Linked DNA regions of Notamacropus eugenii. The protein of the gene in region 1 interacts with the protein of each later gene in a biochemical or structural test. Links are inferred from orthologs where the notes say so. Each region holds a gene or a part of one and is shown in the gene's direction. Other genes may lie near its edges. The genes, in order: TOPBP1, RHNO1 and RAD9A.

Region 1 (3,743 bases):
ATCAGAATCAGGTGTGGTGAGTATTTTAGATCTTTGTCAAGGAAGTGTGGTGGGCAAGCTATACTCTAAAGCTTGCTCTCAACTATATTACTGATAATAATAGCATTCATATAGTGCTTTACATATGTTACATGTAGTTACATCAGATCCACAACAACCCTTGTTAAGTAGATCCTCTTGTTTTCTTCCCCCTTTTACAGAGGAGGAAATTTGGGTACACAGAGGTTAAGTGACTTGCAACCCAATGTCTCAGGCAAGGCTGTAATTCATCTTCTTGATTCCAAGTCCTGTGCTCTATCCCCTGTACCACTCAGCTAAAACCCAGGGCACACCTCTTTAAATTTTAAGTCCTGGCCCCCCACTCTACTGTAGGTTTCCTTCATTGTAAATCTTCAGCTTTCTTTTTATCTGGCTCCAGCATGACCGTTTAATTTTACAAGGAAAATCTGCTGGAGTTTTTCTTAGAGTATGGAATTAGCTGAGACTGAATAATTTAATTCAAGACAATTCACTGGGTAGAGATAAAAAGATTTTCTGGCTCAGTTTTAAGATCATCGTTGCTACTTGTAACTTCCAAACCAGTCTCAGTACTTGCTGAATGATTTACAACTCGAATTGAAGTCACTCTCCTTTTGTCATCTTTTGCCATACAATCCTCCTTCCTCTTCTTACAGTATCTTTGGTTAAATATCTTACACTAGCTCTGTGTAAAGCTTGCGTAGTTAGAAATGATACATCTTTCTTTCCCTTTCCAGCATCTGTAAATTCTAACTGCTTCTTTTTTCTTGGATGCAACTAGAACCTCTGCAAGTCTAAAGAAGTTTCACCTGGCCGTGGAGAGTCATGGAGGGCCCTCGGAGCCGGGCCCGTCACAAGTCTGGTTTACGGCCTGCATCTGCACGCTGCTGCTCTGGGGTACTTTCCTATCATTTCCAGGCCTCTCCCCACATGCTGCTGGATTCCGAGTAGGTATGCACCCCTTCAGCTCCTACTCACACATATTAACGGGTGCCCCCTAGGGCGCACGGTTCCGGGTTCCACTTATTAGCGGGGGCCCGGGAGTCCGGGGGCCCGAGGGCAGGAGGGAGGAGCTCCCGGAAGCAGGCGCCGCCTCTGCTCCGGCCGAGCTCCAGGCCCGGTCTTTGGTCCACAGGGAGAGCGGCCCAGAGGGGAAAGTCGCCGGGGGTGGCTCCGGATCCCTGGACGGCGTCTCTGCAAAGCCCTCCGCGGCCCTTCCAGACTCGGTGACTACCATGGCTGCTTCCTACACTCCGGGCTAGGCCAGGGTCCGGAGTAGAAGCCCAAGGTGGAAGAGGAACCCAAGAAAGAGGCCAAGGCCGGATCCTTTCCCCTTCCCGGAAGCTGTCAATCGCATCGCTTCCGCCCGGTGCGGAAGGCTACGGATGGACAACTAGATCCAGCCGCGACAGGAAGTGTCTCCTCCCCTTCCGCACGGCCCCGCGGCGTCACTTCCGCCCCGTGGCGGAAGGGGAAGCCCTCGGGTTGGCGCGAAACTTGGTGGTGCGGCTCCGAGCCCGCTCGACCCCCTCCCCCTCCCCTCCCCCCCTCCCGCCCCCGGCGCGCGCTCGGCCTTTCCTCACGCCGCGTCGGCCGCCTCACTCCCGACGCTCGCCCCGGACTGCAGCCGCCGCCGCCTCAGAACGTCGGAGCCCCGGGGCGGTGAGTGAGGGCGACGGGCGGCGTTGGGGGCGACCGTTGTGTGGCCGCCCCGGGCCGCGGCGGCGGGGGGGGGGGGAAGGGGGGGGGTCCTGTCAGCCGGGCAGCCGAGCCGGGTTCGAGGCCGAATGCCCTGAGGCGCCTGCGGGGCCCGCGCTGCGGGTCGGGGGCCGGGGCGGCCCCGCCCCCTCCCCTCCGGAGCTCCGGGCCCGCCCTCGGGCCTGCTGCCGCTCGGCCTCCGGGCCCGCGGCCCCGTGCTGACGGCGCCTTCTGGTCTTAGGTCGACATGTCGGAAAGTGACCGAGAGCCGTACTACGTGAAGTTTGTGAAGGCGCCCGGGAACTCGGAGGGTTTCTTTACCGCGCTTGGGGTGAGTGGATGGGCCGTGGGGGGGCGGGCGGACCCCAACGTCTCCGCCGCGTAGAAGCGGGTTTGTGAGCGGCGCGGGCCCCGGCCCCGGCTCCGGCTCCGGCTCCGGCTCGGCCCGGTTCGGCTCCGGCTCGGCCCGGCCCGGCTCGGCCCGGCTCCGTGCTCCTGGGCAGCATTTCTGGTCCGCTGCCGAAACGTTCCCGAAGCGCAGCGCGGCCTGCTTGGGGCCTTCCTCTGAATGATTGACGTGCGCTCTCGCTTCGCCTTTCAAACAGTCTATGAAGGAATTCCAGTCGGAAGAGTATCTCCAGACCGTGGCCGAGGAGGAGGCCTTGAGCGTGACGGAGAAGGACCGATCGCTGTACATCTGCGACCCCTTCAGCGGCGCCGTGTTCGAGCACCTCAAAAAGGTGCGTTAAGTGACCGCGTCTGGGTGTGATGCACGAGGAAACGGGAGGGCCGCGGGATCCCCGGGAATGACAGATCTGCGGTGTGTCCTAGTGCATGGATGCTCACGCTGCTGGAAGAACTGGCCTTGGAGAAATAGGCACGAAGGCTGGTGAAGTGGTTGGCAGAAGGGAAGACAAGTGAAGGAAAATCGTCTTTGTTTCGCTACTCAAACAACATAAACCTTGTGTTTTCTGTTCTGTAGCTTGGCTGTAGAATTGTCGGCCCACAAGTAGTCATATTTTGTATGCAGCACCAACGATGTGTTCCAAAAGCAGAGTATCCAGTCTATAATATGATTATGGCAGACGTAACTATTTCTTGTACAAGCCTTGACAAAGAAACAAGGGTAAGATGTTTTAGTAGGATGATAACATCGATATGTATGTTTTATATGAATTTTTTTTGTTGGTTAAGCTGTACTGTGAAATGTTTCGAATTTTATTTCACATGAGAGCAGATGTTTTCCTTTGGCTATTTTGTGTGACACAGTTAACAGATATAGTAGAGGGTTAGGACCTAGCAGTATAAGAGGTGATCTTCAAATTGAGTTGTACCTAGCACAAGTCATCCTAACCAATGATGTTTCATAATAATGTTATAAATGCAATATAACCAAAGCCCTACATATTAATATCATGCAGACAATTTGTAACCTCAGCTGCTCTAGCCACAGGACTGCAGTTTCATGCTCCATAATTTCTGATACCTGCTTCATCCTTCTTCAGATCATAGATGCCCTGGTCTTGTCCCAGTCACTGTAACAAAATGACTATGAGTCCTCATTCCAGAACATTGTTTCTCTCCTTGTTATGTTGTTCTAAGTGCTCTCTATAAAGTTGGTTAGCGTTAGGGTTTTAAATGAAAAAAAAAACAACTTAGTGAATTGTGCTTTTAGTGTCTTTCAGTAGAGCCATTAACCATTTGAAGATCTTCGTATTTCTTTGTAAATTGTTCATCTTAATTGTTGCATCATTGTGCATTTATATATTCATATATAAATAAATCATAAACATAGCACAGCTGTAGTGATTAAATGAATATGAATTTGTTGTGGACATAATGTAGTGAATGCTTTAGAAAACGGGTAACAATGATTATAGATTAACATATTTCTTACCTCTTCCTTTTTCACTCCAGAAAGAAGTTCATAAATATGTACAAATGATGGGCGGACGAGTTTGCAGAGACTTAAGTATATCAGTAACTCATCTTATTGCTGGTGAAGTCGGCAGCAAAAAATATTTAGT
Region 2 (3,743 bases), about 160 Mb from region 1:
AATTCCTAACCATGTCATAGGTATTTGGTAAGATGACCTGGGCCTCCCTTGAGCTCTTCCTACCTCTTAATTCTTGGGTCTAAGTTCTCACCTCTTTAAGTTCCTGCAATTTTATCTTGTCTCCATCTCTCTTAAGTTTGACCCTTTACTGCCATCCCCTCCCCCCAAAACCTTCAAATCCTGCTTCCTTTTTTTCAGTATATCCTTTCCCAAAAGCAAGTCTTCCTGCTCTCTCCCACTCCTAACACTAGCTCAGTTATGTATTTGACTGCACCTACACGGCCCAGGGTTAAAACATTAAAGGGGATACATAACAGAGGAAACACAATTTAGCTCTCACCTTCAAGGAATGTCAAATTTAATAATGCACATTTACCAGTAATGATAATACAGGGTCTAAGGTGCATAATAAACATTAAACAAAACGCTGAGTGGTTTCACCATCCAAGGTCCTTTGCAAAAAGCCTTTCACTACCCCACACTGAACAGAGGAGGGCACGACACCGCCAGCAAGGGGGGTCGAGAGATTCCTGGGGTTACAGATTGGGTCCCTGGGCCCAACCTGCTGCTGAATTCCGCAGGAGGCTGGGGCTGCACCGGCATTATGCGGCCGGGCCGTGATCCGGCCCGCAGTGGAGGGGGCCCCGGTGGCCCGTCCCGAGGTGCTGTCAGGTCCGGCCGCACCGTCTGCAGCCGCGGCACCTCGAGGACTCCCTCCTGCGGGTCACTCACTCCCTGATCAAGACTCCGAGGTCGGGGCCCGGCGGTCGCTGCGGAGCTGGGATCCAAGCTCCGGCCCGCGACCCTCTCTCCGGGGCTCCCCGCGTCGGCCCAGGAGCTGGGCATTGGAGGGGGCCCATTTTAAGGAGGACGGCTGCGGAGACCTGCTCCTTTCCCGGTCCGGGGCTCCCACCCCGCCCGGGCTCTCTAGGGCCCTCCCGGGGAGGGAGGCAGGCTGGGGACCCCCGCCACCCGAGACTCTCACCTCAGCACTGCGGCCGCTGTCTCCACCACCGCCCCAAGGTAGGCCTGCAGGGGTCGGGTTTCCCTTCAGCCTCAGCCCGCCGGGGCTGAGCCAGGGTCCAGGAGCAGGCCCAGGGCCGCTAGGGGCCGGGTCGGCCAGGTCCCCGGCCGCGGGGGGGAGGGGTGGGGTCGCCGGGAGGGGGGGAGGGGGAGGAGGGGGATAAGGGGCTTTCAGTTTGTTCCGCGGTTTGAAATTGGCGCCGGCGGAGCGTTGCCGGTCACGTGACGCGGGCGCCGCCAATCGGGACCGAGCGTCGTTTAAGCATTCGGGGCCGGAACTCTGCCCGGCCTGTCAAGGGGCCGGGGCCTGGGGGCAGAGGGGCCGGAGCCTCCCGAGTGAGGGAGGGGGAGGACGAGGGAAGGGGCCGGATACAGCTGAGCCGGGCAGCTGAGAGTGGGTCGGGCGGACTTCCGGGGCTGGCTGAGGGGGCAGGGACGCGGGGAGGCGGCGCCAGGAGTCCGCTCCCCCGGAACCCCCTTTCTCATGCTCGAGCTTTTGTTCCAGGTGCTTTCTTCCTTGGAGGACTTGCACTCACCCAGTGTAAGTGACCCCACTGCCTCCCACCCCCACCCCTTCTCAGAGCAGCACCTCCCTTTTCCTGCAGCGCTGAGCCTGGTACATAGTAGGCGCCTAATCTATGCTGTTGCCTTGAGTCCCTCCTGCATTTTCAGGTTGGTGGTTCTGGGACGTAAATAGCAGCCTCCCTTTCCCGCTGAGAGCGATGATTAGTCTGGCCCAGCGTGGTGGGCTTTGCTGCCCCGGGCAGTGATCGGTTTTCTCTGTCTGCTTGTTTTGTTGTCTGATCTCTAGGCATGGGTGAGGATCCTTGCTCATCTCCCCGACGTATTTCCCCAGGCAACATGAGGCTACTCACGGTCCTTCCCTCCTCGACTGTTGATGCCTCCCAGGAAGAAACCCAAAAGTCAGTCCCGGAAACCACAACTGGCATTCCGAGAGGGGCCTCTGGAGGGTCCCATGCATCCCTATGGATCCCCACAGCCAGCCGCAGCCCTCCCAAGGCATGCTCGGGTCAAACCAGTAGATCACCAGACCATCACCTCTTGGGTAGGACCAGCGAGTTCTTACACTGGGTGCTTTGGGTACGAGGTGACTCATATTGTGGGTACTGTCTTTGACCCACATCAGGAGGAAGGTCACTCACCCACTTAGTGGTACACAGGAGCAAGAGGCCCTAATTCCTAAACCATAACTCCTCAACCAACTGCTCTTCCCCTAAGTTGTAAAAATGGGCAGTTGCTGAGAGAAGAGCTAGATAACTGGGGGCTGATCAGGAAATAGCCAATCAGAGGGAGAATTGTTGACATTTAGACTGGCTTTACTTTGCCCTGCTATTCTTTTTAAAGAGCAGTGACTACAGTGGGGAATTTTGGGACATTGTGTTCATTTTCTTGCTGGAAGGTCTCATCCTTCCCTCCCTACCGTTCATTCATCCCCCTCCCCCCCCCCCCAAAAGACTAAAGAGTAGTCTGAAGATTCAGTAATAATGTGCTTTTGCTTTGGTGTTCCCTTGTTACTGTTGACCTTTAGTGGCTGGCCTGATAAATCAAGACCTTACCTACACCAATTAGCCAATAATACCTTCAGGAACACTTGAACCCACCTTTTTCCTTTTCTCTCTCCCAACCACTGATTCAGTCAATCAGCAGGCATTTGTTAATAGCTTTTATTAAGTGACAGGCACAGGGGATACAAATACAATTAATTGAACAATTCCTATTTGAGAAGTTGTTTATATTCCAAAAGATAAGACAATATGTACATACATATATGTGTTCATATCTTTCTAAACATACATATGCATTCACATGTATGGATATGTAGAATACAAAGTAGTTAAAGACTAGTAGTTTAGTAGGGAGGGCATTAGCATTAGTAGGGGGATTTGTACATGTACAAGGTGGTGCTTGGGCTGTGTCTTAAAAGAAGAGAGATTCTAAGAGAACAGATATGAAGAGGAATTACATTCAAGGCATGGGGGCAGCCATGGAAAAGCATAGAGATAGGAGATTGTCTTGTGTGAGGAACAGAGGAAAGGTCAGTTTTGACTGGACTGTGGGAGGGGGAGTGTTCACTGAGGCTGGAAAGATAGTTTGGGTTCAGGTTGTGAATGGCTTTAAAAGGTAAAGTTAATATTTTATCTTAGGGGCCATAGGGACTTGCTAGATAGAGTTTACTGAGTAGGAGAGTGACAAGGACAGAAACAAGATTCTGAGCATTCTTAAAAATGCAGGGTCTGATGATAAAAGTAGCGGCATGATATAGAGAAGAGAAATGTATTTTTCTTTGGTCCCAGATACTGTATGTTCTTCTTTAGATACATTGTTTACTATCTAATAGCCTGCTATAAAGTAACACCACACACTGGAAAGTTTTAACATTCTGAAGACTCCAGCTGAAAGAGTTTTGGATTATGTTGTGAGAAAGAAGTAGAAGTTAAGAGCAGGGGCCAATTTTGGACTTCAGCTTCTGCTTAAAGAGTGCTTTAAAAAATGACTTGTTAGAAGTTGTTGGAAAAGCAATAATCCATACTCCAGGAATAGGGTAGATACCTAATAAAAATAACTCACAAAGTTTTATATAGTGTTTTTCTCATAAAAATCCTATAACTTCATAGCAGGTTTCAAACCCAAAGCTCCTGATTCCAAGTCTGGTGCTCATGCCTGTAGAAAATGAGCTCATTTTAATGTGGATAGGCTCT
Region 3 (3,743 bases), on another chromosome or scaffold:
GTCCTCAGGAGTGCTTATAGACCCAACTCGACTCGACCCGGAGGATCGCTGCTCTGGATGGTGCCCCTACTCTAAGTACCTGTTGGTCCTTCCCTGGCTGTTCCGCTTCGCCTAAGGTGAGCAGGCGGCTGAATGGGATTCTCTGGATCCCGGCTCCGCTCCTGCTCCGCCGGGGCCATCCCACCCCTGGGCTGCAGAGCTTGACTGGACAAACTCAGCCAAGGAGCCCCCTGCGGTGTCTTCTCTCCCCAGCCCCCTCCCTGCACCGGGGCCGCCGCCCCGCCCCCCCGGGAGTGCGAGTGCCCCTTGCTGGAGACACAGAGAGGTGTCCATCAAGGTCCCCTGCTGTGCGCACAGGCACTCTTGGCAAGAACAAACAAGCGGCCTTCCCCGAGGGGCGATCGCCCTGCGTGCACTCGCTCGCTCTTTGCACAAGTGTTCATTTATGGAGCACCTACTGCACGCAGGCACTGGGCTGGGGCGGGGTGGGCTGGGCCGCCCCCGCCCCCCGCCCCCCGCAAAGGAGAACGATCTACAACGAGCAAGGATAACGTTTTTGCGAAAAAGCGCTCAGAAAGGCAGGGAACTCCGATCGCAGCCTTTCCCAGGGCCCGGGCTGCGTCTCTTCCCACGTTACAGCCGCAGTTTCTGAAGCTGCACAGCGGGCACCGGCCTGGGGCTCCGGCCTTTGAGAGAGTAGGCATAGACCTCCAAAGGCAACGGAGGCGTCTGCGCACGCGCCTCCCGGGGCGGGGCTGTCCTCAGGCCACACCCCTCAAGCGGGAGGGGCCAGGGCGGTTTCGTCACGTGACACGAAGGGACCGGCCGAGGTCCTGTCACCTGGTGCAGGCCGCGGCACGGATAGGCTGGCTTTCCGCCCACGTGACGGAGGTGCCTTGCGTCGGTCACTCTAGGTCCAATGAGAGGGCGAGGCGGGCCGGGGCCGGCACCCGGGCCCAGCGCGCGGGAAGGAAGCCGAGCCTGGGTGCTGGGACCGGCCGGCCCGAGAGCGGGTGGCGGGGGAAGGCCGGGCCGGACCGGGAGACATGAAGTGCCTCGTGACGGGAGGAAATGTGCGGGGTGAGTGTGGGGCGAGGGCCGGGGCCAGGGGTCGGAGGTCACGGCCTGTGCCCTCTGACCTCCCTCCCCTAACGCAGTGCTGGGTAAGGCCGCGCACTCGCTGTCGCGCATCGGAGACGAGCTGTACATGGAGCCGCTGGAGGACGGGGTGAGGCGGCGCCGGCCAAGCGGCGGGGTGGGGGTGGGCTGGGCGCGCTGGCCTCCGCCCTCTGACCTCCGCCCCCTGATCTCCGCCCCCAGCTGTCGCTGCGCACGGTGAACGCGTCGCGCTCGGCCTTCGCGTGCTTCCTCTTCGCCCCGCTCTTCTTCCAGCACTACCAGGCGGCCCGGCCCCCGCAGGCGCAGCCACCGCGCTGCAAGGTCCTCATGAAGGTGGGGGCGCGGGGCGGGCCGGGAGGACGGGGCGGGGGCAGGGCGCGCCTGCTGCCGCGCTGATGGCCGCGCCATGCCCCCCGCCAGTCCTTCCTGTCCGTGTTCCGCTCGCTGGCGGCGCTGGAGAAGACAGTGGAGCGCTGCTGCATCGCCCTGAGCCCCGAGAGCAGCCGCCTGGTCATCCAGCTGCACTGCAAGCACGGTGGGGGCGGGGCCGGCAGGGGCGGGGCCGGGGGGGGGGGCGCCGTGTCCCCGCCCCACTCACCTCGGTGCGTGCCTGCGCCCCCCCAGGTGTGACCAAGACCCACAACCTGTCCTTCCAGGAGTGTGAGTCCCTCCAGGCCATCTTCGACCCCGCCAGGTGTCCACATGTGCTGCGCGCCCCCGCCCGGTGAGCTGGGGACATGCGTGGTCGCTCACGGGCACAGACCCCCCACCCCAGAATGGAGGACCTCCCCCATTAGTACACCGGGCGGGCTGGGCAGGGTCCTTGGGCTGTGCTGAGTGGCCTCGCCCCTCGTGCTCTGGGCAGGGTGTTGGTGGAGGCCGTGGCGCCCTTCTCCCCGGCGCTCTCGGAGGTGACGCTGGGCGTGAGCCGGGGCCGCAGGGTTGTCTTCCGGAGCTACCTGGAGGAGGACACAGGTGAGGGGGGACCTGGGGGGGAGGGATGGGGGTCCTCCAGGGGCTGGAGGGGGGTTGGGATAGAGGCCCGCTTCCTCCCCCAGATGCCGCCAAGGCCATGATGACCGAGATGAGCCTCAGTGAGGACGAATTCCAGCAGCTGCAGGCACAGGAGGGAGCGTCCATCACCTTCTGCCTCAAGGAGTTCCGGGTGAGGCGGCTCTCCCCTGTGCTGTGACCCCAGCCTGATCGGCCCTGCCCTAGCACCAGCCCTGCCCTAGCCCCGCTCTGCCCAGCCCTGCACCAGCTCTGCCCTAGCCAGGCTCTGCCCAGCCCCACTGACATCCGGATCTGCTCTTTCAGGGTCTCCTGAGTTTTGCGGAGTCTGCCAACCTGCCCCTCAACATCCACTTTGATCTTCCTGGAAGGTATAAGATGGGCAGGAAGTGGGACCTGCTCTGGGGTCTCTGCCCCCTCCCACTCTTGCCAAGTGGCCAAGAGTGGTTCTTGTCCCTCCCCACCAGGCCGGCCATCTTCATCATTGAGGATTCGCTGCTGGACGGTCACTTTGTCCTGGCTACCCTCTCTGAGCCTGACCTCTGCCCTCAGGAACCTTGTCCACCCCAGGAGGGGGCTCACAGGTGAGGGGGCGCTCCACAGCATTCTTTTCCCCCCTCCTCTTGCCCTTCTGGTCCAGCTCCTCTCCCCCACCTTCCCCAAGACCTCCTACCTCCAGGTCTTGCCCTCCTCCTAAGTTCAGTTAAGGCTTGGTGACATTGTGGGTGGGGTGCCTTTCAGCCTGCCCCCTCTTCTGCTGGAAAACTGGCCACACACCCTGTCCCCAGCTCTGGGCCTTTCTCCCTTAGCACGACACACCTGGATGACTTTGCTAACGATGACATTGACTCTTACATGATCGCTATGGAGACTACTGTGTGTGATGGGGCACTGGTGGCCCCCCGGACCCCTTCCCCTGTGTCAGAGGAAGAGGAGGCAGAGCCCAATGTGGTGCCTGGAACCCCTCCCCTGAAAAAGGTGAACAAATGGTCCCTTGTCTGCTCCCTGTGGGGTGTGGGGAGATGGTGCGTTCTGCCCTGGGTTTGTGGGCTGGCTTGGTGGCGGCCTGTACTCAGTGCTGCTTTTCTCTCTGCTTCTAGTTCCGTTCCTTGTTCTTTGGTTCAGTGTTGGCCCCAACAGAACCTCCCTCTGAGCCCAACCCGGTACTAGCAGAAGACAGTGAGGGAGAGGGCTGATTGGCTCTCAGGGACAGCAGCAGCTGGGCCACCTCACATTCTCAGGAGCAGCGTCTGGCGAGTCTGCTCCTCTGCCTGCTTTGTGTCAGAAAAGACTTGAACTGTGCTTGAGGAGGATGGGGGTCTCTATGGAGATGGAAGAACCTGGTCACTTCCACCCTGGGCCCGAAGCGGACGCTGGCTCTGCTTCTGCTCTGGCCACCACAGCCAACCCCTCCTTCCTCAATAAAGATTCCCAATCCTGAAGCAGACATGCGTCATTCTGGACAAAAGGCAGGCTAATAGGCCAGTGAGAATCCAGCTTTGACATTTATTCAAAAAAGACCAGATAAGGGCACAGAGCAGCTGAGCCCAGATGGGACTCAAGCTTTCTTCCCTGCTCCGAGGGGCCTTCCTTTTCCCTCCCCAGCTCCTCCA

What was found.
Region 2: the proteins of TOPBP1 (region 1) and RHNO1 form a complex in vitro, tested with the Homo sapiens proteins (2 studies listed by BioGRID). The link is inferred for Notamacropus eugenii from reciprocal best matches to the Homo sapiens genes TOPBP1 and RHNO1.
Region 3: the proteins of TOPBP1 (region 1) and RAD9A form a complex in vitro, tested with the Homo sapiens proteins (4 studies listed by BioGRID). The link is inferred for Notamacropus eugenii from reciprocal best matches to the Homo sapiens genes TOPBP1 and RAD9A.

The regions. Positions count from the first base shown.
Region 1 is NC_092874.1:41,878,849-41,882,591, reverse strand, and holds the start of TOPBP1 (DNA topoisomerase 2-binding protein 1), read left to right. Parts: upstream 1-1,467; 5' UTR 1,468-1,680; intron 1,681-1,957; 5' UTR 1,958-1,963; coding exon 1,964-2,047; intron 2,048-2,321; coding exon 2,322-2,456; intron 2,457-2,698; coding exon 2,699-2,842; intron 2,843-3,633; coding exon 3,634-3,743. UniProt on the Homo sapiens protein: Scaffold protein that acts as a key protein-protein adapter in DNA replication and DNA repair. Composed of multiple BRCT domains, which specifically recognize and bind phosphorylated proteins, bringing proteins together into functional combinations.
Region 2 is NC_092874.1:202,999,623-203,003,365, reverse strand, and holds the start of RHNO1 (RAD9, HUS1, RAD1-interacting nuclear orphan protein 1), read left to right. Parts: upstream 1-1,294; 5' UTR 1,295-1,507; coding exon of another isoform or gene 1,508-1,564; intron 1,565-1,608; exon of another isoform or gene 1,609-1,695; intron 1,696-1,834; 5' UTR 1,835-1,921; coding exon 1,922-2,089; intron 2,090-3,743. UniProt on the Homo sapiens protein: Involved in microhomology-mediated end-joining (MMEJ) DNA repair by promoting recruitment of polymerase theta (POLQ) to DNA damage sites during mitosis.
Region 3 is NC_092873.1:19,857,325-19,861,067, forward strand, and holds RAD9A (cell cycle checkpoint control protein RAD9A), read left to right. Parts: upstream 1-924; 5' UTR 925-1,046; coding exon 1,047-1,080; intron 1,081-1,157; coding exon 1,158-1,228; intron 1,229-1,320; coding exon 1,321-1,452; intron 1,453-1,539; coding exon 1,540-1,654; intron 1,655-1,743; coding exon 1,744-1,843; intron 1,844-1,984; coding exon 1,985-2,094; intron 2,095-2,177; coding exon 2,178-2,284; intron 2,285-2,436; coding exon 2,437-2,501; intron 2,502-2,597; coding exon 2,598-2,714; intron 2,715-2,918; coding exon 2,919-3,108; intron 3,109-3,230; coding exon 3,231-3,326; 3' UTR 3,327-3,572; downstream 3,573-3,743. UniProt on the Homo sapiens protein: Component of the 9-1-1 cell-cycle checkpoint response complex that plays a major role in DNA repair. The 9-1-1 complex is recruited to DNA lesion upon damage by the RAD17-replication factor C (RFC) clamp loader complex.